4 linked regions of the Pelodiscus sinensis genome follow. The protein of the gene in region 4 interacts with the protein of the main gene of each other region in a pairwise test. Links are inferred from orthologs where the notes say so. Each region holds a gene or a part of one and is shown on either strand. Other genes may lie near its edges.

Region 1 (6,901 bases), on a different chromosome or scaffold from region 4:
TGCACTAGCTAGGCCTCAGCTGGAGTACTGTGTCCAGTTCTGGGCGCCACATTTCAAGAAAGATGTGGAGAAATTGGAAAGGGTACAGAGAAGAGCGACAAGAATGATTAAAGGTTTAGAGAACATGACCTATGAAGCCAGGCTTCATGAACTGGGCTTGTTTAGTTTGGAAAAAAGAAGATTAAGGGGGGACATGATAGCGGTTTTCAAATATCTAAAGGGGTGTCACAAGGAGGAAGGAGAAAATTTGTTCCTCTTGGTTTCTGAGGACAGGACAAGGAGTAATGGGCTTAAAGTGCAGCAGGGGAGGTTTAGATTGGATATTAGGAAAAAATTCCTAACTGTCAGGGCGGTCAAATATTGGAATAAATTGCCAAGGGAGGTGGTGGAATCTCCCTCTCTGGAGATATTTAAGAACAGGTTAGATAGACATCTGTCAGGGATGGTGTAGACGGAGCTTGGTCCTGCCTTGAGGGCGGGGGGCTGGACTCGATGACCTCTTGAGGTCCCTTCCAGTCCTATTATTCTATGATTCTATGATTAATGAAAAGATTATAAAAATTCATTTATCCTAAAATATAAATACATATGTATCTGTTGCAACTGGTATGTCAAAGATGTAAATGAGATTGAAATCTAAATCTTGTACTCATATATAGCTTTGTAATCTTCCAGCAGACACAGATATGAAATAATTGTAAATGTATAAACAGAATTTAATGTTTATGGCCAAAAGAGTAAAAGGCAACAAACAAAAGTAAAATATAGAAGACCAGCAAAGCTATGGTAAGCTGTTGAGTCATGAACATCAGATAATGAAGTATATAAGCCAAATTAATTTCATATTAAGATCTATGTAATTAGGAGCAGAATTTAGTCCTAAAAATTTAAGTTGCAGCACACCGATCTTCTCAATTATTTCAATCACAAACACAGATCTCTATAAAAGTGATGCTTGCTTTCTTGAAGCTTGTTCCTTTAATAAAGAAAGCCTTAACTTGATTGAAATAGAACTGAGCAGTGTTCACATTTATATTGAATTGCCATTTCCAGTTCCTCCTTCCAGCTCTCAAGGTATGAAGTAGAAGAAAAACATTTCAGACTGCGAGAACTACAACTTCAAAATAATGCTTGCCCAGTTTCTTCTAAATCTAGAACCTCAGACTCTATTTTCAGGAGATGTTGCCTGCAGTTAAGAGTATGTAGGTCTTCTTTGGTATACAGTATAGCAATGTGTGGATAAAATGAAGCTGATTATGTAAAAGTGCACTGTCGTCTCCCTGCACTCAGTATTCCCATGTGGATTAGTATTATCAGTCTTCAAATTAATTTCAAGGGCTTCTCTTCAGGTTGTATTTGTTGTGAGGAAACAGGTTCTCTCCATATTTAGGCTCAAAATATCCAGAGAAAAGACATTTAATGGATTGTAACAGCACAACTTTTTTTTCCAACATCCCACTGCTGAGACTGGTAGCAAGATTACTAACTGAAGTAATCAGTAACTATGATTGTACTCAGGCACCATATCAGAGAAAGCCTGGACTAGACTAGGAAAGTCAGCCCAGGTTACACAGGCTGGCAAATCCATCAATAAGTTAACTTTTTGGTGACTATTGATGTGGATTCCAGTCCTGCAACTGGATCCACCCCAGCAGATTCTTGGACCAGGGTGAAGGCCATATTGAACAAAAATCAAGGCCCCATGGGGAGGGGCAGGCACACCTATAGGGATCCATTTGAAGATTGGAGTCTAAGACAGTATTCAAATCTGTGACTAAGAAAAAATGCATTGTGGGTGAAATCCCGGACAGATTGAAATCAATGGGAATTTTGCTATTCACTTCAATGGGGCCAGCATTTCATCACCTCTGACCTGTAATCTCTAATCACGATAGTGATTCTGCAAACTCTTTCAATGCCAGCGAGGTTAAATATCCATGCTAGAGTTTGAGGGGCCCTCAAGACAAAAAACCACACACACACTCCGTACAGTTTTACTACCTCGGACTTCTGAATCTGATCTAAATTTGTGAGGATCAAGATCTTCTCGATATAAAACAAACTCACTCCATAATACAGGCCAAGTGTTCTTTCCCCCACCCCTCCGAAAATAAAACGGCTGCCAAGAGGCAGCTATGACAACCACTGAGTGGCAATCAGAACAGTGTTATTTCAGCACAGTTGTATGTTGGTCATGATCCCCCTTCTGGGGAAGCTTTGAGGCAGGAAAACAAGGATTAGGCAAGATGGAGGCATGGGGAAGGGCTCCCACTGAGCCTCCTCCCCCCATCCCCACCTACATCCCCCCCAGCCTGTTGCTATACCCGTATCCCCGGCGCATAAAGTTCAATGCTCCAGGTCTCCGGGCCGGGTCCTCCTTTGGGGAACAGAGGCCCGCTCTGGCTCTCCGGGCTCCCGGAGCAGAACCTCCTGATGCCGCCGCCACAAGCCGCTCCAGGGGCGGCTGCTGCACCTCTCCCACCTACAAAATGGCAGGTTAGCAGCGGGGACGGTGGCAGGGCTGCGGTGCCGCCTGCTCCGGCACGCCCCGCACCTCAGCCTGCAGCCCCGGGTCTGCATGCACCACACCGGCCGTGCGGCGCGGGGCACTGCACGCTCCTAGCCCGGCGCGGCGCCCTGGGCTCGGCGCAACAAGTGCTGGGCGCGGGGACGCAAGGCGGGAGAAGGAAGGGGAGCGAGCGGGGGATCCCAGCCAGCCCACCCCGAGCAGCCCCCAGCCCTGCCACTCACGATCTCCAGGCAGATGAAGGCGCCCGAGTAGGTGCGCAGGATGTCCAAGCCCGCGGGCAGCGTGACCCGGGGCGCGGGGAAGTAGGCGGTGGGGTTGGGGGGCGGCGGCATGGAGCCCCCCCTGGCCGACATGCTGGCGCGGAGTGAGCCGAGCCCGGCTGGCCCTGACGTGGCCGCAGGTTGGGGGCGGGGGAAGGGGCGGCTCAGCGGCGCCCAGAGCAGGTGCAGGAAGCGTGTGGGCAACACCCAGCCGCCGGCCCGGCCCCTGCGCCGCCCCGCCCCGCAAGCGCCGGGCGGCGACGGCCCCGGTTCCGTGGGCTGCAGCCGAGCAAACCCCCTTCTCGTGGCCACTGGGTGGACCCAGTGTGACCCACACACCTGCTGAGTTCGGGTCACTGCCCCATGTAGCGACCCTTAGGCCACAGCGCTAGAGGGAGAGGATGAGTTTCCTGTTGCCTTCGCTGAGAGCCGCCTGGCTTTTGGCTCCAGCTGTAGTCCCAGCTTTGGTTCTAGCTCAGAGCCAAACATTTGCCCACCACCCCCTTGGCGTGTTCCCGAATCCCAGCCCAGGGCTAGTCCCCCACAGTCCCTGGTATTCATGAGACTGGCCCTGAATTGGGAGTCTCTTGGGGCTGTGGTACTGTGGGGAACTCGCCCGGGGTTGGGATTTGGGAACACCCTGGATTGGGGAATTGAAGGAGACAGTCTGTGTAGGGAATCATGCCAGAGGGTTTCCTCTAATCGTTTCCATCCGTGTGTGGAATAAATGTTTGTTGTGTGCCACCAGGAGAAACACAAACCTAGCTGTAAAGTCAGCTGAGCAGCATTGGCATCTCCCCTGAGCATTTGTGCAGGTGCACAGCTTACAGGGAACACTAGTCTGCACCTAGACCCTATCTGCAAACCATACTCCTACCCACTTCCCACCTCTGGAGCACTCCAAATCCACCTTTACTTTTCAATCTCTCAGTGGGTGTTCAGATACAGAGCACATACAGAGAATGTGTGTCCCATTGGTATGATGCAGGTTTGTTATCTTTCTGCAGAAGAAGCAGATAAGGAGGCTGATTAGGCCTCTCTGATTTGCACTTCTCCCAGTTTATACTGTATATCTGTGTAGGATCCTGACTAGTCCTTTCTCCCTGGGGGCTTTTGATCCCTCATTTTCAAAGGAACCAAATAGTTTTGTTCCTGGTGTGGATATGGTTGTTCAACCAAAATGTGATGCCTCACAAATGTCAGATTTTTAAAAAGCAAGACCTTGATTCTTCAGATCCAGATGCTGGCTTTCATCTGCTTTGTAGCTTCTTTCTAGCTTTTCATGCTCTGGTAGTTTTTTTTCTCTTGGCAAGGCTATTTAGTACAGGGGGTGTGGCTTTAATATGTGCAGCAAGACTGACATCAGGATTCATAAACCTAATTGTTCTTATTTTTCTTTTTTAACCTGCTGCTAGTTAATGATAAACTAGCACTCAATACATTCCAGCTCAGATGCATGATTATATTCCCATGGAGGTGTTAATAGTGTTAATGTTGTAATGAATATTTTAGGGTTGAAATAAAAACCTAGTTTTATAAACCTATGGCTTATGGTGGTGTCAAAAAATAGCGACTCTAGCTTCCAGTTTGAAGGATGTTCTTTCTTTAATAAATGTCAGAATGCTTTGAATGACTAATGGTATTGCCAAATCCCAGCATTCAAAGCTCATGGGTCAGGCTGCCAAAATCATGAGATTTAAAAATAATTTGGGATTCTTTTTATTTACCTTCTAGTTACAGAGACTTTAGGATTCAGGGATTCAAGCCTTATCTCTGCAACTGCAAATGCTTAGAAGTCTACTTTTTAAAAAGTCATCAAACCAAAACTGAGACTGTAGTGCAATCCCATGACTCTTCGAGTTGAAGTTTTTAAGAAAAACATCAAGTATCACAAGATTTATGAAGAAACAATGAGGTGTCAACATTAAAGGCAGAGACTTTCTTTAGATTTCTTTACTTTATAACATGCAGTGTGTTTCCCATACAAAGTACAATAAAATTGTATACATACTTTAGTAACATCCAAGTTTAGAAAAGTATAGCAGGACAAAAAAATGTCACTTGAGTTCCAATAGATGAAAATGTTGCTAATGAGAGATCAGACTTGTAGCCTGAAATACATCTGGAAACATCTGCAGTTATCACACCATTTATAATAAACTTTATTTTCCCATTTCATTTTATTGAAACAATTTCACTTTTCACATATAAACAATTTTTTTTCTTGTTGTCCACATTCAGGCAGATTTCCTTCCTACCCTGACTCAATGCCACTCCAGAAGCAGCTGGCACATTCCCATGGCCCCTGGGGATGGAGTTGCTATGTGTTGCTTCCACCCCATCTCTGCAGCTCCTATTGGCTGGACAGCTTGGTCAATAGGAGCTGCACCCAACCCCCTGTCCCAGCCTACAGACTATACTCTGCACTCAAACTCCCTCCCAGAGCCCATACTCCCTCCCTCTGCCCCAGCCTGATGAAAGTGAATGAGGGTGGGGAAAAGAAAGTGATGGAGGGAAGGGGGGATAGAGTGAGCCGGGGGAAGGGATTCAGACAATGAGTAAGACAGGAATGTGGCATCAGGAGAAGGGCAAGGGTGGGGCAAGGGTCTTTGAAGTTGCACAATTGCACAGTGTGCAACCCTACCATGTGGGCAGGTGGAAGAGCTGATCATGCTGAAAGAGTGCACCCAGCAGTGTAGCTAGCAGCTCGTTGGTCACCAGTCAATGCAGGTGCGGCACCAGCTTGTGCAGGCACAGCAGTGCCCAGGTGTCAGGCAGTCCATGTTTGTGCAGGCATAGTTTGTGTAAGTGTGGGGCCCATTGACTGTTCTGCCCTGGGGCCTGGAATTGCTGTCAGCAGGCCTGCCTGTGCATTCCAATGTGGGAAGTTCATTGTTCCATAGGACAGGGAATGGAGAGAGAATAGAGCTAGTGGTCATCAATTGCTCTCTTGATGCTTTCTCAGGCCATATCTCCACACTACAAAATTTTGTTGATATATTGCTACCACAGATATGAAATTGCATTTGTGTGTGCCCATCTGGTCCATTGTGTTGGTTGTGCATGTCCTCACTAGAAGGACTTGTATCAATTGTAGTGAAGATGTAGGGAAGATGGTGTTACTAAACTGGCATAGAGAGTCACTTATGTTGACAAGAGGCAAATTTAAGTGATGACATTTCCACATGGACCAGACTGTGTAGTGTAGACCAAGCATCAGGATCATCTTTCAATGAGGCGTCAAGCATCTTTCCTAAACAGGCACTGTCTAAAGTGCAATATGAGAAGATGCCATGGGCCAGTTTAGATGTGTTCATTAAGCAACACAAAATGGAGTCTACACTCTGATACCAAATATCCCACTCTGTCATAATGCAACTCAGAACTCCCATTGAATTTGGGCAGAGGTGACAGCTAATACAGCATACCAGCGAGAAGTGGCTGCCAGTACCAGTCCATACACAGCTAGCATTAAAGTGCTGTAGCTGCAGCCAACAATGAGGGCAAGGACAAGGGCTGGTGAGTGCAGGAGTCAAGGTAGGGATAAGGGGCTTATGGCAGGTGTAGGTGTGCAGGAGTCAGGGTAGGGGATGGTGTGTGTGTGTGAGAGAGCCTCAGGATGAGGTTGGGGATGTGTTTGGGAGTTCAGGGCTGGGAGTGCAGCCACTGTATTGCGTGACTGCTGGATCCCTGGGGCACTGGGGGCCCTGTTGCCCGAGCACTGTGGCTAGCTGGGGACCATGCAGCCCAAGCCCTGGAGCTCATGCCTGTGTGTGCTGTGGCCAACAGTCTCTTACTGGTGTGCTGCACTGGCTTACTTTCACCTCTGCCATCACGGCAGGTTTATGGAAATAAATGTTGTGTGGTCTGGAAGGATCTAGGAGTCTAGCATATTTTGGAACTAATCTCTGTTTAAGTTACTGGACAGTTTGCCCCAGGAACACTATATAGGGTGTGTCTACACTGCACCGTAACTCGAAATAAGATATTTCGATGCTATTTTGGAATAGCTTATTTTGTCATTTGGCATCATCTACACAGAGCCAAATTTCAAAATAAAACACTATTCTGAAACATCACTAACTTGAGGCTTACAGGGATGTCGGAATAG
Region 2 (7,443 bases), on a different chromosome or scaffold from region 4:
CTCTGTCGAAAAAGGCGTGCAGTCTAGACATAGCCCTAATGACAACCAATAACGCCAGATAAAGAAACAGATCTCAAGATGGGTAAAGAAAACTTAGTTTGATAGCATCTCATGTATCAAGAAACTCTTTAGGTGGGATTATGGAATCCTCATTGTATGATTATGATCCTCACTTTTCTATTGTTTGTTTGTATGATCTCTGTCTCTGGTTTTATACATATATATATTATCATGAGCTTTCATGGGCAAACACACTTCTTCAGATGAGATCTCATCTGAAGAAGTAGACTTTGCCCATGAAAGCTCATGGTACTATATATCATTTTTTAGTCTCTAAGGTGCTACAGGACTATTCATTGTTTTTAAAGTTACAGACCAACACAGCTAACTCTCTGTGGTTTTTAATTGTTTCAGTCTGCTGTGTAATTAATTTTGCTAGGTATATATCAATTGAAGTGGTGGGGTATGGTTAGTTAGGTAATTCTGTTACAGTATGTTAGGACTGATTAGTAACATTTTAGTAAAATAATTGATGACAGTCTAGCTAAGCAGGACTCAAGTTTCACTATATAAACTGGGGCCCAAAAGAGAATTTTTTGGAAGCCAAATCCAGGACACAGCTCCAAAATCAGAGCTGCCAGACCCTGTGCCAATAACACTGTGCAGAAATTGGAGTCCCCGAGCTGGACCTGAACCTGACTGGCTATCAAGACAAGTTCATCTGACTTACTGGGAGCGGTGAGCACTGTATGCTAGCATGTGCATGCTGGCTTTGATAGTGATTAATACAGAGAGATTAAGTAGGATATTACCGTGTAAAGCTCATTCCCTGATAAAAGACCCCACAAACCCACAGAGTGTAAGGTTACACCTGAGCCCACAGAAGGAAGAGGGTGGGTGCCTATTGAAAAGGTTATACCTGAGCCCTATAAATGGGTGAGGGTGGGTGCTCCTAGAGCAGGGGAGGGGAAACTTTTTGGGGTGGGTGCCACTGACCCACAGAAAAATCAGTCGGGAGCCACACACAAAATACCCTCATTGATGTGGCACCCAACTGAGAGAAAGATATTCTCCCACATGCCCCTTGCATACCACAGCCTCTGGGGGTCCAGCCTAGTAGATTTTGGATGCTCCATCCCCATGGGGGGTAGCAGGGGGCTGGAGTGCCAGCACAGGCTCCCTGCAGGAGGGCACCCTAAGCCTCAGGGGCCAGATTCAAGCAAGCTGGGGGCCACATCCGGCCCCCAGGCCTAAGATTACCCATCCCTGTCCTAGAATGTGTGAACAACAGAGAATTTTGTATGGGTAACATCCTGAGATGAGAATAAGTCACTATATTTGATAAAACCAACAGCCAATAAACATCTTGTACCTCCAGCGCATCAGGGAGAGCTGTATCAGTCACACTGCACCATGTGAATACAGCTCTCTGGAGTGCACAGTGAGGATCATGCACAGCCTGTAGCAGAGGGGGAATTTTGACCCCTGGGCAAAGGCCTGACCAACAGCAAGAGTCATGGAACCTTTACCGAGCCATTGTCAAAATAAAAACCACCCTCCAATCTGATGTGTTTTCATCTGTTGGGGTTATCCTGACAGTAAGTCTATTGTAAACTGCACTGTAAACCCCAGCTGTGTGGACTTGGTATTTCCAAGCTAGGGCTTGAGTATCCACACTACACTGGGCCCATGGGCTTACAGCTGGGGGTCTCAGCCATGCTAGCTGAGGATACAACCCTACTGGAAGACAAAGACCTTCAGGTTTGAGTCTGCAGCTCCAGCTGCCTCTTATGTTAAAAAAATACAGAGTTTGGATCCCAGTTAAAGGGCGACCCGGGCTCACCCACTGCCCTAGAACAGAACAGGCAGGGCCATCCTTAGGGTTTATGGGCCCTCTACCCCAGGGCAGGAGGGGTGAGCGATTGTTTACAGCACCCCCACTGTACAAATACTTCTCACCTCCAGCGACACACCAATGAAATATTCTTAAAGCGCCTTTTCAACGACGGTTCTGTCGACTAAGAGAAAAGTCCATTCCGAGGGGGACAGTGTGGACCTCGGTTTGGAGAATGCCTGTTCCCCGGCTTCACTCCCACGTGCCGCTCACGGCTCCGGCAGGCTCTCCCGCTTTGAAGCGCCGCAGGACCCCTCCCGAGGAAGCAGAGCCCGGCCAGGGGGCGGCGGCTGGGTGGACGTGAAAGACCCAGCGCTGCCCCAAAGGGCCCGGGGGCGTGTTCTGCGCCCCGGTGTGCGGGCGCGGGGGGCTGCGGGGAGGCGCGGGGGAGACCGGGTGCCGCGAGTCCGGGGTGGCCAAACTGCAGCTGGTCAGCCACATGCGGCTCTTGAACAATTAAGGGCGGTTCTGTGCCCCCCCATTCTTCTCCCACCAGCCGGGGGGCGGCTCTAGGGCCCCCCCATTCTTCTCCCACCAGCCGGGGGGCGGCTCTAGGGCCCCCCCATTCTTCTCCCACCAGCCGGGGGGCGGTTCTGCCCCCCCCATTCTTCTCCCACCAGCCGGGGGGCGGTTCTGCCCCCCCATTCTTCTCCCACCAGCCGGGGGGGCGGCTCTAGGGCCCCCCCATTCTTCTCCCACCAGCCGGGGGGCGGTTCTGGGCCCCCCCCATTCTTCTCCCACCAGCCGGGGGGGCGGTTCTGCCCCCCCCCCCATTCTTCTCCCACCAGCCGGGGGTTCGAGACCTCTGCCTTGCAGCGGGCCGGTGCCCGAGGGGCTGCCCAGCGGGCAGGGCGGTCTTGAAGCTGCAGCCCCGCGGGACCCACCTGCCAGGGCTCGGCCCCCCCCCCATTAGCCCTGCGCCCCTCCGCCCGCTGCCTGGCCGCCCTCTGCGGGTCGCTCAGCCCCGGCCCGCCGCCCCGGTACCTTGAGGTTCACAGCGGGCACCTCCATGCTCGCGGGGCGCCCCCGCCTGTCCCGGCCGCTTCCCAACTTTCCACCGCCCCGCCCTGCCCCCGTGACTGTGCGGGAAGCGCCTCACGTGGGGCCGGGCGGGGGCGGGACGCGGCCGCCGGCGCCGGGCTGGCTCTGCCCCCCGCGTCCCTCCTCGGGGGCTCCCCCAAGCCAGGGCTGCACAGAGACGCCCACCCAGCCCGAGAGCGGCCAGCCCAGCGCTGAAGAGGGAGAAAGACACAGACACCCCCAGAGAGGGGAGCGGGGAATTGACCCAAGAAGCTGGATAGCCCCCCCCCCGAAGCGGCATTGAGGGGGGGCGGCAGCAGGGCGCTGGAGATGGGGTGCTACTGCCCCCCTTCAAGTAGTTCCCAGGATAGTCCCCATTGTAGGGTGTACAGTTTGATTCCATGACTCTCAGCACTGCCCCTGTACAAATTGTTCCCACTCCCCTGTGAACTCAGTAAGAGGGTGTGTAGCCCCTGGTGAGGGAGCAGGCCATCATGCCCTAGCTGGCGACCTGCCACACCACCTCAGATGCTGGTCAGTATTCCACAGGGGCGGTTGGTATCCAGGCAGGTAGGGTGTGCAACCCGACTGCGTTTTCTGCACTGCCCCTTCTTCCTCTGGCTGCTAGTGCTCCCAGTTCTCACCCCCTTGGCTGCAAATCAGCCGTGACCGTGAAAGATTTTTGCAGGTGCAAATGTTATTGTTTAAAAGCAAGCATGCAAAAATGTCTTCCCTGAGGCCAGGCCTCTTTGGAAGCTGCTAAAGGGTCAGGGTGTTTTTAATGTCACTGCACATCCCTCCATTGCTGCCTCAGTTCTTACAGCCCCACAGGAAAGGGTGATAAATCCTTTTGACCTCCAGAAATACCACTTCTCATCAGTGACTAGCCTGCCCTGGGAGTTGAGGACATTGATTCTTGCACTGTCACTGCTTTAAAAAGTCCCAAAGTGTTCCAGCCACGCCCCAAATTAGTTTCAGCAGTGTGCTATGGGGCTGTGGCCAAGTACTGTGGGGTAGCATCACTCCTCCCAGGGAACTGTGGAAGTCTGGGAAGAAATTTCCAGAAATCTCTCCCATTTCATAATCTGCTCCTTCACACTGTTTTCCCTTCTCGCTACCAGAAACCTGAATCCTGCGCTGATCAATGCAGCTGTTTTGTCCATTTCAAGGTCTACCATAGCAGCCGGACATTCAGCAGGGAGACAGAGGATGAAGCTGAGCACCTGTTGCAGGCTTTCACTGAGTGATGGCACCTAGAGAGATGGTTTGGGTCCAAACAGTGATGAGGCTGGAGTGTGATACAAATCTGAGAGCACCAAAAGTGGCTGTGGGACATTCAGCTGCAGAAGGCCACATGCCTGGAACTGTGTGCGGAGCTCACCCCAACCCTACAGAGACTAAGAACCGCATGGACAGTAGAGAAACAGGTGCCGCCAATCACTATCTGCAGGTTGCAATGCTGGATTGCTCTCAGTTGGTGAACAGCCAGTTTGGTGCTGGAAAATCTGTGGTGGAGGCAGTGGCCACCCAGGTGTTCAAAGCCATTAAGAGTGTCCTGCTGTGGGGGCTTGTCAGGCCAGGCAGCCTCCAAGAAATACTAGATGGATTTGATTTGATGGACTTCCCAAGGCTGCACGTGGCATTTCAAAGCAGCAATGCCGTGTGGAGCCCGGGGTCAGCTGCTTGAGTCCCCTGCTGGCCCCTAGGGCTGTTGCTACACTTCAAAGGTGGAGACACCCTTATCGACTAAACAAATAGTCGATGCAACTTGCATCAACAATTCGATTAGCCAGTTAATCTAAATTTAACATCCCTACCCCTTGTTTTGCTGCTGAGTGCATAAACAGAAAGGGGTACTTCATCATGCAAGCATCACGGTAGGTGATTTACTGACATTTAATGTTGGCTGGTCAGGGAACGTCCTGGATGCTCCCATCTTTAGGAATTCAAGACTTTTTGAAAACCTGAAAGCAGGGACTCTTTTCCCCGACTGTCCTGTTGACATTAATGACATTGCAATGCCAGCTGTGATTCTTGGCGACACAACCTATTCTTTGCTTCCCTGACACTTTACTCCAATCATTGGCAACCTGGAGAAAAGCAAGGAAAGATTTAACCATCCCCTGAGCCAGTGCAGGATGGCTGTGGAGTGTCCTTTGAAGGGCAGATGTCTCATGTCAAGGCTAAATCACCATGAGGGAAATATTCCTGCTCCAAAGCGCCCTTTGACAGTGTGCATTTCCCAGGCAGTGTGTTACTTTGTGTTAGTGTACATAGTGTAAAGGCAAAGAGGAGTCTTGTGGCACCTGAGGCCACATCTCCACTTGCCACGCTGGAAATGGATCTTCTGGCATTTGATTTAGCAGGTCTAGTAAGGACCCACCAAATCGAACATTGAGGGCACCCCCGGATTGGTGCTGGTACTCCTTGATTTGTGAGGAATAAGGGATGCTGATGGGAGCATTTGTTCCTGTCAGCCTCCCACTGTGGAGACACAGTGCCAAATTTGGATTGAGGTGTCAGCTCCAGCTACATTATTTACATACCTGGAGTTATGTACCTTAAGTTGACCTTCTAGGTCTAGTATAGAACTAGCCTTTGAGACTAAGAGATGTATTAGGGTATAAGCTTTCGTGGGTAAAACCCACTTCATCAGATGAATTGGAGTGGAGTTTACAGAGGCATGTATATATATATAAGGACAATCAATTGTTTTTAGGGAGAGGGGTGTTTTTCCCTTCTGTCTCATAAGACAGGGAAAATACAGCTGGCTTTTCACAAACTAGAACTTTTCTTAAACTTCATGGCTACGTCTACACTGGCACCCTTTTCCGGAAATGCTTAAAACAGAACAGTTTTCCGTTATAAGTATTTCCGGAAAAAGAGCATCTACATTGGCAGGATGCTTTTCCGGAAAAGCCCTTTTTCCGGAAAAGCGTCCGTGGCCAATGTAGATGCGCTTTTCCGGAAAAAAGCCCCGACCGTCATTTTCGCGATCGGGGCTTTTTTGCGGAAAAGACTACTGGGCTGTCTACACTGGCCCTTTTCTGGAACAGTTTTCCGGAAAAAGGACTTTTGCCCGAGCGGGAGCAGCATAGTTTTTCCAGAAAAGCAGCTGATTTCTTACAGTAGATCGTCAGTGCTTTTCCGGAAATTCAGGGGGCCAGTGTAGACAGCTTGCAGCTTATTCCGGAAAAGCGGCTGCTTTTCCGGAATAAGTGGCCCAGTGTAGACACAGCCCATTTGTAAAGAACTAGTGTACGAGCTGGCTGCACACAGCTGCATCAGAGCAGGCAGGAGGTGCATTCAGAGCAGTTGTTATTATTGTCCTATCACATGGAAGGCCAGGGACACTGCTGCTGGGCGGTTGGGAGCCTCAAGGATGAAGCCTACGGCCCTAGCCAGAAGGAGTCATTCTCCATGTTGCCAAATGGCTGCTGAAGTGCCAGGCTTTAGCGTTTGCTCTTTAATGTGCTCTAGCAACTGGCTTTGTGGTTTAAGTCCTTCTGAATGAGGTCGTACCGCTCTTGATCCTGTTGGTCTTTTTGCCTCTCTCTCTGCTTACATTCCCCCCAGGACTGAGTCTCTCTGTCTTCAGTCTGGACTAGTTCAGAGAACGTATCTTCTCTTGTCCTTTTCCTTTGTTTCCTTATCATGCTGAGTCACTCAGCAGGAACCCCGCAAGGTCAGAGACAAGCACGCAGACAGAGAGTCACTGTTAGGGGGAAAAAGGGAATCCCAGACAGCAGAAGATAGATGGGAAAACCAAGGGAGCTGCAGCTGTTAAAGGTGTATAAAGATATGCAATGAGTAGTCCTTTAGCATCTTAGAGACTAGCAAATATATAGACATGGTAACACGAGCTTTTGTGAGCAAAACCCACTTCTTCAGATGAGCAGAGCTCATATCTTTTTGTTAGCCTCTAAGGTGCTACAGGATGACTCGTTTTTTAAAGTTACAAACTAACACGGCCACCTCTCTGAGACTTTTAAAGATACGCAGTCGCACAATCACCTTTGCTTCACACATACACAGGGAAAGAGATGGAGAGCTTGTATTCTCCCTTTAACGGTACCTTCATTATTCTTTCTTGTCTCTCTCACAGTTGAGAGAAGGAAACTGTGGTTGCAGGCCTAGCTCAGGGCTTGTAGTTGTAAGTGTAGTAGTGTACTGTGGAGAAATGAAATGATTGAACAGCTATGACTTCCTCAGTCTCACTTAGTCACTTTCCTACCATACAACTTCCTCCTGCTTCCTGCAGCTATAGATTCTCCAGGGCTGACCAGACAGTCTTGTGCCAGTAGGCTTAGTTTCACTTTTGTGGCAGATATAAAATGGCTCAGTTCCCACTCTGTATTTTGGTTCAAGTGACTTGCCCAAGGAAGCTCAACTTGGCTGCGGGGGGATCCAAGAAGCCGGAAGGGGAGGAAGGCTGGGGCAGGATGGGGCTGGCAGCCAGGGGAGGAGGCAGAAATGACCTCCCCTGGTCTGGCAGAATCCCTTCTCCAGGAACAGTCAGGTCCCGAGGG
Region 3 (7,003 bases), on a different chromosome or scaffold from region 4:
GCCAGAAAGGACTGTGACTGAGAGGAGAGTGCTGTCTAGTGATTAGAGCACCCCCAGCCATGTCACATTAGTTCTTGTGACCTGACATTTGGAGTGCCTGCGAGCTGGGAATTTGGATTCCTAGCATGAGCATCAGGGTTGATAAAAATCAACGATTTAAAAAAAAAATTCAGATAAAAAAAGAGATCAGTAAAATACTCCATTTCCCATTTAAAAACAGTTACAATTAAATCCCATCACAGAAATGCTACCCGGATGCTTAAAAAGTCTCTTAAAAATGAATGAATGGACCTAGCCTGTCCAGCCTAACCACCAGCTCCTGCTTCTTGAAAGTTCTGGGCTTTCCATTTCGGTTTCTCAGCAGACGACAAAGCGACATGTGCAAAGTCAGACGCATCCTGAACGGGCTTGTTTTTTGTGGCCACGCACAGCAGAGGAGTTAGTTAAGAGAGTCGCTTATAAAGACAGAATCGCAATATATAGAAAAGGACGGAGGCAGCCTAGAAGAGAACAGTGAACTGAAAAGAAAGAGAGAAGATGTTATTCAGAGCACACACACACTCACGCACAGCTTTCTATACCCTCCACACTGGTGCCACAGAAAAACCGTCCTGGTTTCTGGGCACAAGAGAGATTCTCTCTGGGAATAGTTTGAAGAAATTCATTCCCTGGGTAAAAAAGGAAAACGTGACGGATAAGCAGTCCATGCAGGATGATAATGCAGGGCCTACTTGCAAGAATGAAACAAAGAAAACTGCTTGCTGGGAAGAAAGCGATGTGGATCTGACTGAGTGGATCAACGGGTTAGTAACTTAAATAATTCACTTTGCAATGCATCGTTCATAGAATCCTAGGGCTGGAAGAGACCTCAGGTGGTCGAGTCCAGCCCCCTGCCCAAAGCAGGACCAATCCAATTGTTCTTCAAGAATCTCTCTCCCCCTTTTAAAGCGATTTGACTAGTAAATTCCCAAGCTGTTTGCTGTGTTGAGTGTTGCTAGAAAAAAAAAAGTTTAGCTTAGCTAATCCTTATGGCTTGTTGAATTAGTTAACTAGGTTTAGAATCTATCACCCAAGTATACAGCACAGAAAGCTGCAGTAAGAGAAATTTAGAGTTGCCTATTGACACGGAGTGTCATTTTTTGTTTTATATTACATAATATACTATTGTATGGTATATATAATACTGTATTCTACTGTATAATATCCCTTCTTTTGCAACCTCATGGCCACAGTCCATAATGGTGATGTCATAAATCTATTCTTTATTTTACTTCAGCATAACTCCGTTTTTTAAAGGGAACCCCATTCTATATTGTTCTTGTTTTTTTGAGAAAACAAGAAATGAAAGTTTGTTCAGTGGGGCCTCTTCCAAAATTAAGTGCCCTCTAAGCACAGTCTAGCTTAGCTTTGACGGTAACTGGCGATTATTTTTTTTGGGGGGGGGGGGTGATTTAAACTGTGATTAAAATCAAATTATTTAAATCGCCTCTATTTAAATCAATCCACCCTGATCAGCTGCAGTAAATGTTTAAAAACGGCCTGACAGAAGAGGGGAACGGGAGTCAGGGTGCCAGTTTCTGGTCCTGGTTCTGCCACAGGTTTCCTGCCAGTGGGCATATTATTCACTACTAGATCGCTCTGCACTTCCATTCCACCAGGCAGAGATACTGGTCGATCCCGGAGAGGCCTGGGGCAAATCCTGAACTTTCTACCGAGTTGCTAGCATCCGTCAGAAAAGCACAAAACGTGTAGGTGGAAGCACCGAGGCAGCTCAGCCCAAACAGCTACATTAGCAATGTTGTGCTGTTACCAGGTGCACACACAGGGTCTGTAAGCGCTGCTGGCCTGGATCAGACCCAAGGACCATCCATCCAGGACTAGTTGCTTCAGAGGAAGGAGCAAGAAACCCCACAGGAGGCAGAAGTGAGAGACAACCTCCCCCCATTCCCTAACAAAGTTTGGATTGAACTCTAAGCAGGACACACACTGACAACGTCCATGATCCCCTTAAATACTTGTCTGAAAAGGGGTCACCATCCTCCAGCCAAGCATCTGCCCCCTGTGCTCCAGGGCACATATCCCCACACCCAGAAGCAGTAAGGTGCGGCAGAACAGGCCACACCTGGGCAGAGACCAGGAGAAGTGGGGGGGAGGGGGCGTTCAGCCCAAGGCAAGAGACTTTTCCTTTTTGAGGGTTCCACCATCCAGGGCTTCCCCTGAAACAAACTCAGCCAAGCCGAGGTCTTTTATGGGACAGATCTGGAGGCACCTGCTGGGAAAGGTCACCTCAAAGTACTGCTCCCCAGGGTTTGGGGGAAGGGGCTGCAAGGGAGGGGTGCATTAGGAAGGGAATCCCAGCGGGAAGGGGGTTGAAATGGGGGGGGGTCAAGGAGGGGTGCATTAGGAAGGGAATCCCAGCGGGAAGGGGGTTGAAATGGGGGGGGGGTCAAGGAGGGGTGCATTAGGAAGGGAATCCCAGAGGGAAGGGGGTTGAAATGAGGCAGGGGGGAGGGGTCAAGGAGGGGAACATTAGGAAGGGAATCCCAGAGGGAAGGGGGTTGAAATGGGGGGGGTCAAGGAGGGGTGCATTAGGAAGGGAATCCCAGCAGAAGGGGGTTGAAATGGGGGGGTCAAGGAGGGGTGCATTAGGAAGGGAATCCCAGGGGAAGGGGGGCCCTTGGAGAAAGGGAAGGGGGTGTTGTGAGCAAGGGGGGTAGCTGTGCTGAGTCCCCTCGGAAAGAGGGGAGCCCCCCGGGACTAGGGGACTCAGGGAAAAGGGGGGGGGCTGCCGGATAAAGTGCCCTCCCCGGGGAAGGAAGCAGCCCGGCTCTGCAGGAAGGGGGTGTCCTTGGGGCCGCCCCAGGGCTCCCACCTGTGGCTAGGTAGTAGCGCTGGACGCCGGTCTGGGTTTCCAGCCAGCCCAGCAGGTCGGCGAGCAGGCCGGGCTGGTGCAGGAAGGTCTGGAAGCGCTGCCGCAGGGAGCCCATGGCTGCACGCTCCGGCTCCGGCCGCCGGCTGCTGCTGCTCGCTCTCGGCTTAGCGGCCGGTCCGCCCCCCGCGCCGGGCCAATGCGGGAGCGGGGCGCGGCCAGGTGGGAGCCGGGCGGGCACGTCACAGGGGACAGGTGAGGGCAGGCGTGGTCAGAGCAGGGGAGGGGCAGCGGGGGCAAGGGGCAGGCGGGGGGGGGGATCAGAGGCAAAGGGAGAGGGAGAGGGAGAGGGAGGGGGAGGGGCAGGAGGGGGGGGAAGAGCGGAGTTGAGCAAAGCAAAGGGAGGGGGCAGGGGCAGGAGGGGGAGGAGATGGGGCAGGAGGGGGGAAGGGAAGAGCGGAGCAAAGCAAAGGGAGGGGCAGGGGCAAGAGGGGGGAGATGGTTTGGGGGCAGAAGAAAAGAAGGGGAAGGGGGAATCAGAGGCAAAGGGAGGGGCAGGGGCAAGAGGGGGGAGGAGAGGGGGCAGAGGAGAGGGCCCCGAGCTGGCGGGAACGAAGGCAAACAAGCAGAGGGAAGAGCCGAACAAAGGGGCTGGGGTGCACACACTGATTTACACTGTAAGCTCCTAGGGGCAGGGACTGGCTTTTAGTTGTGCATTTATACAGCACCTTGCACAGCGGGGCCTGAGCAATAACTGGAGAGCCCCAGGTGCTACCTGGATTCAATTAAATAATACACATTTACACAATGGCTGCTGCAAAAGGAAAAGCTCCAGCCAGGCACGCACCAGCCCAGGGCAGGAGGAAACACTCACACGCGCCTGGAGCTTTAAAAAAAAAACTACAACTCCCAGAAGGCCGTCTAGCCAAGGAACACCCCTCCCTACTCGCAAAGCCCCCTGGGAGTTGTAGTTTGTTGGTGAGCCGACGGGGTCGTTCCCCGGCTCCTGCGGCTTGCGGTTGCTATGGCGACCCCGGGGTGTGAACACGTGGCGCGGGGCAGCCCCAGCAGCCCTGCCCGTGCCCGGGAAAGAGGCAAAATCGAGGCCCCGGCTTCAGGCGGAGCGCTAGGCCGCAGATCCCGGGCGGGGGGGTATTTAAGGGCCCCTTTTAGGGGGCAGCCCCACGTTTGCTCCCCCCCCCCGGTCGGAGCCATGGCGGGGGCGGCGGCCTGGCTCCGGCTCTCGCTGCTGCTGGCCGGTGCCTCCTGCTGCCGGGGCGGGCTCACCGTCTACCTGAGCAGCTGGGCGGTGCAGGTGCCCGCGGGGGCCCGGGAGGCCGAGCGCCTGGCCCGCAAGCACGGGCTGCTCTGCCTGGGGCAGGTGAGGGCGGGGGGGCTACTTGCCCGGGGCGGGGGGTAGTTGGGAGGAGTGTGGGGGGGCAGTCTGCAAGTCCCCCCCCCCAGCCCCAGCAGCTGGAGAGGGAGCAGCCCTTTTCTCCCCACTATTCCAGGCTCCTGTGTCCCCCCCCAGCACCCCCTTTCCTAGAGAGGCTGCCCCCCAAATCTCCCCCCCCCCGCCTTCCCCCTGAATTCCTCTTCCACAGGCCCTCCCCAAGAAATGGGGGGGGGGTGGAAGAGAAAGAAGGGTGTTTATAAGAGCGGGGGCTTGCAGAGGGATGCACCCCCGTCCCCCGAAAAACACCCCGATGAGGGATGCACCCCCGTCCCCCGAAAAACACCCCGACGTTTGTTCCCCTGATGGAAAATCTGCTGGAGAGAGCCAGGGAGCTGCCTGATGAAAGGCTGCCCTGCTGCAGACGTCTGAGCTCTCTGGCTGGCCATTCCAGTTGACTATACCAGCCGTGAAATTACAGTGCAGGCCACAGGACTAAGTAGGAGGCTTCCAGCCACCCCTGCATTGGTGCCATTTGATGTGGCAATCTTTTCCTCCTGCCTAGCTTGTCTCTTCTGTATCCATTTTCCTTCCCTCCCTCTCCGTTTTCTCTCTCACGTCTGTATCTGAGGCGCTTTTATCCGGATCTATTTTTATTTTAGATGAGGGCATACTAGCATCATTACCAATTCCCCCTCATGCGGTAGCTCCAGCTAAAAGCATACAGCTTTGACAACCGAGGCAAATGCATCTTTAAAGAGAAGCTCTAGACAGCAAGGTTGTTTAAAATACCACGGACGTTGAGCGTGTTCTCTGCCACCGGGGGATTTGCAGTGAGTGGCAATTGAAGAGGGAAAACAAGTTTGATTGGCTCCATAATTAAGTTTTGGTTTAAAAAAAGAGGTGCTTTTACCAAAAAAATCCAAGACTAATGAAAACATGTCCCTGAAACTTTTAATCATGTAATAATAACGGAATTCTTGCTTTTTCAAACACTGCAGTCCATGGCCGTCTTCACTGGTCCCTGGTCTCTCTGGATGCATTCTCTGCACCTTTTTATTTAGATTTAAGTGTTTTAGTCCCTAGATTGAGATTTGGGGCCCTGTTGTGCTAGGTGCTGTACAAACATCTAGTAAATGACAGCTACTGTCCTGAAAAGCATGCAGTTACATGAGCTAACACGAAGCCAGCTGCCAGTGGACAGGTACCTGAAAGAAAGCTTTATCTCTTGTTAGTTCTAAATGTCCCACAGCCACCATCCTCTGGCCACGGGCTGTCAACCAAGAGATCCAATTCACCTTCTCTGTCTGTATAACCCATTTTAGGCTTTGAAAACCAGCAGTTTGGTTACAAATGGCCTCCCCTCCCCACCTTGTCGTTCAACCTTCGGTTGTACCAAAACAAGCTCCACCTTGATTTGCCGACACTTTAGCCATCCTCCACGGAGCTTTTTTTGATCACACAATGGCTTGCCCTCTTCATAAAACCCTAGGCAGGAGGCATGCTGGTGCTAGATGTCCCACCAATTCAATGTCACCTTATTCTGACTTCTTTCCAAATCCCATTCTCCTCTTTTGCCCCTTCTTTTTGATTCCTCTCAAGTCACTCTCTGAATTCACTCTAGGATTTCTAACTGTCCTTTATACAGTACTAGGTGTTCTACATTGCGCTATTTCAGAAGACCCTGCGATCACTCCCTTCTTTCCATTCGCCTTGAGTCTGGATAGTTGAACATCGGTTTGCCCCCTTCCTTGTTTTGTTTTTGTTTTTTTTCTCCACAGTATGACTGTGACCAGGTAATATTTCAGTCACCCACCTAACCATTATCCATGTAATGCTTTGCTAAGTAACAACCATTTGCTGTTACTATTGTGTAGGCCTGTCTTCAGGGTAACTTAGTTGCATGGATAATCTAGTTTTGAGCTGAAACTTGCCACAAAACCTTTTAATCTCTTAAACAGAGAATCTGGGCTTGTAATCTGACGTTACAAGGATTGCCCCTTTATCAGCTCTACCTCTGTACCTTTTCCTAGCTTTCTGCTGCAGCAGCCAAATGGCCTCATCAAATATTTAAAAGGCTGTGCAGATCCTTGTCTTGCTTTGTTCGCTTTAAAAGACAGCTTTTGCTAATTAGTTGTGAAACCAGCTCCCTACGGATGGTGTTTTCAGGGCCGGGAGCCTGTCCTTTGGGGAGAACAAAATTCCATTCTACACTCACCGTGGTTTCACGTAGTGCCCTGTGATTGAGTAAAATGGAAAATGGATGGACCCACCCCAGTGAGCTAGCGGTTGGCAGCTTGATCTCCATTAGCTCTCAATTACTCTGAAACAAATTCTAAAATCATACAGGCAAAGGTAGAAATGAAATTGCTAATGCAATGGGCCAGATAAAAAAATAAAGCCATGGTCCTTAACTCAATTAAGGGTGGTTTTTTTTTGTTAAAATACAAAGAAAATGCACATGTTTTATTTAAATGATTGTACTTTTAAAAATACAGTGTTTTATGGAGTTAATTCAGATTTCTTAAAAAAGGGATTAACATTTTTCCATTTAATTTTTAGTATATTTTTTTAAATGAGAATTGCATCAAGTGTATATTTTTTTCTTCACCCTGTAAATTCTTTATCCTTCACTATATTTTGACAAAAATGGACTAAGGTCCATTTGGTTTCCAGTAATGTTTTCTTCTAGTTTTCAAACCTTAAGCTCTGATTTAGCTGTGCCAAAACAGAGCACTCTG
Region 4 (7,692 bases):
CACAAGCACGGTGCCTCAGTTTCCCTAGCTGTAAAATGGTGATCATAATTCACACTTCACAGGGGTGTTTGGAGGATTGATTTATTAAAGACACGTTGAAAATATAAAGCAAAGAATATCTTTCTTAAAAAAAAAAAATCCAGGCCCCCTTTTCTGACTGTTTAAAACCTAGCAGTCACGTTTTACCCTGATCTCACACAGAAGCCAGCTGTTAAGGGTGACTTGATATTGTAATGACCAGTGGTTCTGCAATGAATGCCTATGCAGACCCAGGGACTTGACTTCAGTGGGACTCAGCACAGGAGTCTGCTTGTCCGGAGCTCACCTCGCTTTATTTGCACTGAAACCAGAACCTGGTGGAGCCATGGATGTTTTACAGCTCCAAATCAAGCAGAATCAGCCTGTCTATAACAGACGCTGCAGTTGCCTTCCCCAAAATCAGCAGATACTTTTCTTGGCCAGACCGAGGACTACTCTGGACTGCTCAGAGGACACCAGTCTAAGCCTGGGCAGAAAGGGAGGCGTTGCTGTGAGTCCATGAGGGTAGCAGAGACGAGTGGGGACAAGGACAGGAGAGAAGGGAAGGGGAGAGAGCCAGGCCCTGCAGGAAGCAGCTGCGGGCACAGAAGAGTTAATGCTACAGACTATAAAAGAGTTCTCATCTTTAAAGAGCACAGGGGCATGGGAAAATCAGGGCTGGCTTGAATCAGCAGCCTGAGCCATACACACCAGCTTTCCGCTCCATAACCAGGATGAGGTTAACACTCCCCCAACCCCTGATAAAATTCACAGCAGTCCCTATATTTATAAGTATGCAACATCCTCCTGCAGTGACGCAACCCAGTGACAAGAAGATGTGAACGTCACAGGGAGGAATGGGGCGTGGGAAGCAACAAATCTTAAAATCCAGCCTTGGCGAGAGCGAAATGAAGAGGGCAAAACAGGAAAAGAGGGTGGCTGCAGTTTAAAATGGGGGAGGGGATAATCCCGGTTATCTCCTCCTACTTCCACTGCACATTTTGTGGGGGGATAGCAGGGCACATGTCAGGAGTGTCCAGTAAGGTGCACAGCACTCACGGCAAGGTGGACAGCCCCATTTCCTGGATGGGGAAACTGAGGCCCAAAGGCAAAGCCACTCCCTCCCAAGGTCACACACGGAAGCAGGTCCAGGAAGAGATACCAGCGGTCCCCTGAGCACAAGCTGCTCTCCGAGATCTCTCGGGAGCTGATGGGGACAGGAGGCAGAGCCTGCTGATGAGCAGCAGGCCCAGGAGCAGCTAGGGTCACGCAGACTGGGGGGCGGGGGGGACTGTTTTCGCCCGCCCGCCTCGCTCCCTAGATCATTTCGGGAAGGAACACGGGGGACTTCACTGCACAATCTTCAGTGTCACGTCACCGCCCCACTCGGAAAAATAAAAAGGGCCGCGATGACTGGGGGGGGGGGGCAAAGGGGCGCAGATGTGAGACCTCAGGAACACCCCAGGCCTGCCCCCCCGCCGGGCTCGAGACTGAGGCCCCCACATGTGGTTGGGGGTTGAAACCTCCTATGGCAGCTCCTGCCGGGGAGGAAGGGGGGCTAGCCCCCCATGTCCCTTGCACGCTCCGTGCTCCGCGGGGCGTCCCGCCTGTTTCTGCCTCAGGCCCCGGGGCGGCGGCTGACACCGGAACAAGGGAGGTGATTCCCCCCAGCTGTTCGTTCGGGGCGGGGCTGCGCCCCCTGCGGGGAGCCCGATGGGGCGGGCGCGCGGGGGGGGTCCCTATGGGGCCCAGCCGGAGACTAGGCCGCAGCGCCCCCAGCCCATCTCCTGCCCGCTCCGCATCGAGGTGACCCCCCATTTCTCCGGGATAATGGCCCAGCGCCGCGGCGGCCCCCCCGGAAAGGAGAAGAGGCCAGGCTCTAGGGGGTCCCCCAATGGCCCTTCCCAATCGGAGGGGCCGGGAGCGCCCCCAGTTCAAGGCGGGGGGCAGAATAAGGGGGAAGATCACGAAAATGGGGGGCAGGGGGCCCCGATCCAGCCCTTCCTCCCAAAGCCCCCTCTGCACTGAGCCCCCGGAGGAAGCACCGGGGGTGGGTGGCAGTGTGAGGCGCCCCCCTTCCTGCCTGGGCCCCAGTTCAGACCGGCCAGCCCCTCGGTGGGGCGCCCGGGGGAGGGGGGCCCGGCGTTACCTGCTCCTCCTCCGGGCTCAGCTCTGCGGCCATCCTGCTGCCGCAGCTCCTCCCGCCTGCACACTGCTCCGGAGGCGGCTGCTTCGCTTCTGCGGAGTTTTTAAACCGGGGCTTCCAACCATCGACCAGCCTGAGTCAGCCCCGCAAGCCGGCCCCTGCCCCGCTCCTCCTGCCCACACCCCGCCGGGGCAGCGGCCTCCCGCGCCGCCCGGGGCCCCGCACACGCCCCGCTCAACTGGGGACGCGGCTTCCGAGCGCCCGGCGAGCGCCCATTAGCCGCCCTCGCAGCCGAGCGACACGCTTGGAGGGGGCAAGGCGGCCGAGCGATCCCTGCCCCCGCAGGCCGGGTGTGACTTGGAAGTTCAGTTTTGTCCCCTCTGAACCGGCCCCGATTCTTCTGGCTCCTTCGCAAACTCCGGGCTCCCTCCGGTCCCCCTCGCGGCTTTCTGCAGGCTACAGAAAATCGCACGCCCAAGAAGGGGGGGAAACACCCCGCTGTCCTGGAAGTTTCATCCCCCCCAGATCGGCTCGCAATCTCTCCCGGCTATGGCTTCAGCCGCCTCCGTTTTTCTTCTCTGCCTTTGCAAGATCCCCCTGCCCTTGCTTCCTGCACAGAGTTCGCCTGAGACCATCAAATCCCTGGCTTCAGCTGTATTTTCCTTTTAGAGAATGAAACTCCTTCCTGCAGCCTCCATCTCTCGCCTGTCTGCCTCGCAGCCCTTATTCCTCAAAAGCAGCGGAGAGGAAGGAAGGAAAGACACCCCGCCCCCCCTCCTCTCATGGCCAATGCTGCTTCCCCTGCTGAGCCAGCCAGAGCCCCCAGCAACTCCATTCAGAAACTGAATCTCATTCACAACAGCAGAGGACAGCCAGGGAGAGGGCTCTCACCCAGGGAGGGAGAGAGTTCTGCATAAGCCGAGGGGGGGGGGGGGGGGGGGAGGCTGAAAGAGGCATTCGTCCAAAGGAAGGAGAGAGAAACAGGAAACTATCCAGGGCAAGGGAGACAGAGGCAGGGCAGCAAACAAGGGAAAGAAAGAGGAATCTAGACAAGGGAGGGACAGCCACATCCAACAGAAAATATTGAGTCATCCCGGTTTAAGAGAATATTAGAGTCATCCTGCTGTTCTGTACCTGCAAACAGGCCCTTAGATCCCGAATTCCCGTAATTCAGTGGAGGCGTGAATCCTTTCCACACCTCCAAGTCTACCCAGAACATTATGGCTAGATAAAAACCTAGCATGGTTGCCCCCCACCTTTGTTCTTGTATGTGTTGTCACGTGCCTGGCGCACTGTGGGCACAGCTGTTTGCAAGAGCTAGCCCATGCATTCTAAGGCCACGAACACAGTCAGGGCCCTTGCAGGTCAATGGCAGCAAGATCTTCCTGAGGGGATCCAGTGGCAGGACTGGGACCCTGATAACAAGCAAAGATGGGCAGGAGGGGACTGTAACAGGATGCTTCAGTGATGAGCGCACGATAAGAATTTATAGTGAAGAGAACAAAAGACAAGTGTGCCTGGGGGGTACATTTGGCACCTCTTACCATTACAGACGCTTTCTTCAAGTAACCCCGGGGAGCAGAGGCGACTGGCGTAGGGCTGACAGGTCTCCTTGCCCTTCTCTGCCCAAGTCTTTTTTAATAAAGATATTCCCACTCTTGTTACTCCTGTGCAACTCTGTCTCAGCATTAGCCACTGCCGACAGACAGGATACTGGGCTACAAGGACCTTTGGTCTGACCCTGTATGGCCGTTCTTATGCGGGTTAAACAACAGTCCAGTAGCCACTGGTATTTTAAGTACCTTTTTGACTAAGCCAGAGCAAGTCTATGTGACAGGGTGGTTAAAATGGTAGCAGCTGCTGGAACCTTATCTACACTAGAGCACCCACCTTTCCTGCCACCCCAGGAGCTGAACAGATGTGTAAAAGTGCCTTTTGAGGAGGAGAGAATGGAAGGTCATGTCGTGAGAAACTAAAGAACTGCTGATCAGGAAAAATTCATGCAGGGCCCAAAGAGCTGGCTCATTTGATCTCAACTTCAGATCCCTGCTTTGTGGCTGTTTCCTGTAATCCGATCTAGATTTAACTAAAGTTTTAAAAGTAAAACTCCCTTTCTGTTTTCCTCATGTCCAAATTCTCCTCCAAAACGTACTGTCTTCTTTTTTCGAATGCCTTGCTGTGCACTCCAATACATTCCCATAGAGATAGGATTAGGGCAGATGACAGCAGTTCAAGATTTGACATGGCCCAGAGTCTGAGATCTGTGTCACATCCCTGCGAGATCACCCCGCCCCAGAGAGCTTCCACTATATTCAACTGCTATCAACTCCCACTCTGGTGTCTGGTCATTATGGAGACAATACTAATAGATAAACTATCTTATCCTTAAAAAGTATTGTGCTTATAAGAGCTTAGCTTTAGTTCTTTCCCATTGTTTACATTTATCTCTTCCCCTTTTCTATCACCCATGGTCCATTATCTTTACTTACTTTGTAAACTCTTTGGAGGCAGGGACCATCTTTTTGTTCTGTTTGTACAGCACCTAGCACAATGGAGTCTAATCCATGACTAAGGCTCCTGTGAGCTCTGACTGTACCAGTAAATAACACCTGCCTTGGGTGTTCAACTTCACAGAGCAGGGGCCTTGTCTTCTAAGTGTACAGTGCCTTGCCTACCGGTAGCCCTTAATTCATACTGTATACTACACTGATCTCTCCGGCACTAGAGATGCACCTGGCCAATTCCCTGACAGACCAGGATCCATAAAAGCTGTGGTCAGAGTTCAAACCATCCCCCTCACTGGAGCATGTTCTGATGGGAAGTGGTCACTGTTGTTATATATGAAATAAAAAGAAAAATTTACCTATTTGATTTCTATTTGATGGAGAGAAGCAAAGATCCACCTGGCTGGTTCACTTACACTGTGCTGCCGCACGGCTATGCACAAACAATATTCATCTCTAGAACGAGAGCGAGATGATGGATTCCCTTGGAGCGGAACCAGATCAGTAGTGAACTAGCTCAGCAACTGCAATTTTTTCCGTACCATTTCACCACGTCAGCCAGACAAGTTTCAGGTGCCATTTCCAGGGAAAGGATGGGTGCTCACCACCACTCCCCCGTATCCATGAACTAGTTCTACTTCCACCTCTACCAGTGGCATTTCAAAGTCTGGGTGGGCGGTTCCACTGACACAGCTGAACAGCAGCTGCTGCTAGTGGGGAGTGGAGCAACCTGGTGCTCCAGGGTTTTTAAAAAATGCTCCCAGGGCTTTGATCCAGAGCTCTTCAGGCCACAGGTGCTGCACACTGCCTCTGGGAGCATGTTTGGTTACTGCAGCAGGGCCTGCTGGTTCAGAAAGCTGGATCCCAACCAGTCTCAGTGGCGGGGGGAGGAGGGGAACATTTTGTTCTGCTGACAAGGGCTGCCCTGGCAACTTGCCTGCAACTGGAGAGTTTGTATTTAACTTGCAAGAAAATGGAGCAGAGTGCAGCTATCTCTATCTTTTCCATGGAGGCTGAAAATCCAGCTGGCTTATGGGGCTTTGAGGTGGGCTGTGAGCATAGGCCATATCTCCACACTAAAGGTGACCACACCTCTAGAAACCACCGGCCACGTTTGAGCTACTTTGTTCTATTGGGGGTTAGCAGTGAGTCCTTACAAGCTATCCCTATGCCCCCACCTATATGCTTGTACTGCCTCAGCAGGCTCCTGGCAGAGATTTACATGTCACTTGTGCATACAAGGAGCTGCAGGAGGGTGGTGTGCGCCCCAGGATCAGCATCGCCCCTAAAACTCTGAGCTATGGAACCAGAATGCTTTGCAGCCAGCCACTTTTGCTTAACAATTTCTCTCCCACCCCTTTCATTTTCTGCTCAGATTTATTCCTGGAGTCTGCTAATATTTTAAAGCAGAATCATGCAGCTGTATCTGCAAGAGATCCTTTACAATATAGAATGAAAGCTTCAGTTTCCCCCTGCTAGTAGAGGAAAAAGCCCCTTTCTTCCTACTGTATTTGACTCCCCTCTTTGCTGGACAGCCTTGGAAAGCTCTGTGAAGGAAGTATACAGACAGAAACCAGAGCGGCAGCTTTCCCTGAAGCAAGAGGCCAAGGATGCTTAGGCTTAGATTTGGATTCCTGGAGGATTAATTAAATTAGTGCTTTATTGCATCTGAAAAGTGCCCTGATTAGGGGCCCAGGCTTCCAAGGGGAATCCTGCATCAATTTCCTCCAAGCAGTTTAATTTTGACTTCAAAATCTGAGATTTGCAGAGCGCTACAGCAATATTTGTCATTTTACAAGATGAACCTGTCACTGGTTTAGGTCTTACAACACTTACTCCCTAACATACCATCTCCATCCCTCACTGAGCATAACTGTCAATATAACATAATAAAGAGTTCAAACCTGTGGGGAAGTGGGATATGGGGAAGAAACACGGAGGAAGGAGCAACAAAGGAGGACCCCTGATTCAAATGGAGAAGGTAGGGCAATCAACTGGTTATCTAAGGTGTATCTAAGGGTATCTACATGAATAGGAAACAGACAGAAAGAATTAGAAGCCCTGGCCCAGTCAAAGAACTGTGATTTGACTGGAATAATGGAGACTTGGTGGGATGACTCACATGACTGGAGCACCGCCATGGAAGGGTATAAACTGTTCAGGAAGAACAGGCGGGGGAGAAAAGGAGGAGGGGTTGCACTGTATGTAAGAGAGCAGTATGATTGCTCAGAGCTCCAGTAGATAGAGGAAGAAAAGCCTGAGAGTCTATGGGTTAAGTTTAGAGACAGAAGCAACAGGGGTGATGTTGTGGTAGGTGTCTGCTATATTCCACCGGATCAGGTGGATGAGGTAGACAAGGCTTTCTTCAGACAACTGAGAGAAGCTTCCAGATCACAGGCCCTGGTTCTCCTGGGGGACTTTAATCACCCTGACATCTGTTGGGAGACCAATACAGCAAGACACAGACAATCCAGGAAGTTTTGGGAGAATGCTGGGGATAACTTCCTGGTACAAGTGCTGAAGAAACTGACCAGGGGCCATGCGCAGCTTGACCTGCTGCTCACAAACAGGGAGGAACTAGTAGGGGAAGTAGATGTGGGTTGCAATCTGGGCAGCAGTGATCATGAGATGGTCTATTTCAGGATCCTGACCAAAGGAAGAAAGGAGAACAACAAAATATACACCCTGGATTTTAGAAGAGCAGAATTTGACTCCCTCAGAGAACTGATGGGCAGGATCCCCTGGGATGCTAACATGAAGGGGAAAGGAGTCCAGGAGAACTGGCTTATTAAAGGCACAGGAAGAAACCATCCGGATGCTCAATAAGAAAAGCAAATAAGGTAGGAGACCAGATTGGCTTACCAGGGAAATGCTTGGCGAGCTTAAACACAAAAAGGAAGCTTATAAAAAATGGAAACTTGGACAAGATGACTAGGGAGGAATATAAACATATTGCTCAAGAATGCAGGGGAGTTATCAGGAAGGCGAAAGCAATTGGAATTGCAGTTAGCGCTAGCAAGGGAC

What was found.
Region 1: the proteins of PTPN9 (region 4) and MAL2 interact in binary tests that used the Homo sapiens proteins (3 or more experiments, as listed by UniProt). The two-hybrid records come from large-scale screens. The link is inferred for Pelodiscus sinensis from reciprocal best matches to the Homo sapiens genes PTPN9 and MAL2.
Region 2: the proteins of PTPN9 (region 4) and AGTRAP interact in binary tests that used the Homo sapiens proteins (3 or more experiments, as listed by UniProt). The two-hybrid records come from large-scale screens. The link is inferred for Pelodiscus sinensis from reciprocal best matches to the Homo sapiens genes PTPN9 and AGTRAP.
Region 3: the proteins of PTPN9 (region 4) and REEP6 interact in binary tests that used the Homo sapiens proteins (3 or more experiments, as listed by UniProt). The two-hybrid records come from large-scale screens. The link is inferred for Pelodiscus sinensis from reciprocal best matches to the Homo sapiens genes PTPN9 and REEP6.

What each region holds. Positions count from the first base shown.
Region 1 is NC_134712.1:22,505,283-22,512,183, forward strand, and holds the start of MAL2 (protein MAL2), read right to left. Parts: upstream 3,020-6,901; 5' UTR 2,884-3,019; coding exon 2,752-2,883; intron 1-2,751. UniProt on the Homo sapiens protein: Member of the machinery of polarized transport. Required for the indirect transcytotic route at the step of the egress of the transcytosing cargo from perinuclear endosomes in order for it to travel to the apical surface via a raft-dependent pathway.
Region 2 is NC_134733.1:8,001,245-8,008,687, reverse strand, and holds the start of AGTRAP (type-1 angiotensin II receptor-associated protein), read right to left. Parts: upstream 3,001-7,443; 5' UTR 2,906-3,000; coding exon 2,879-2,905; intron 1-2,878. UniProt on the Homo sapiens protein: Appears to be a negative regulator of type-1 angiotensin II receptor-mediated signaling by regulating receptor internalization as well as mechanism of receptor desensitization such as phosphorylation.
Region 3 is NC_134729.1:17,444,774-17,451,776, forward strand, and holds the start of REEP6 (receptor expression-enhancing protein 6), read right to left. Parts: upstream 3,007-7,003; 5' UTR 2,988-3,006; coding exon 2,873-2,987; intron 1-2,872. Other genes in the region: PCSK4 (proprotein convertase subtilisin/kexin type 4), read left to right, coding at 3,894-4,250. UniProt on the Homo sapiens protein: Required for correct function and survival of retinal photoreceptors. Required for retinal development.
Region 4 is NC_134724.1:34,422,041-34,429,732, reverse strand, and holds the start of PTPN9 (tyrosine-protein phosphatase non-receptor type 9), read right to left. Parts: upstream 3,022-7,692; 5' UTR 2,201-3,021; coding exon 2,168-2,200; intron 1-2,167. UniProt on the Homo sapiens protein: Protein-tyrosine phosphatase that could participate in the transfer of hydrophobic ligands or in functions of the Golgi apparatus.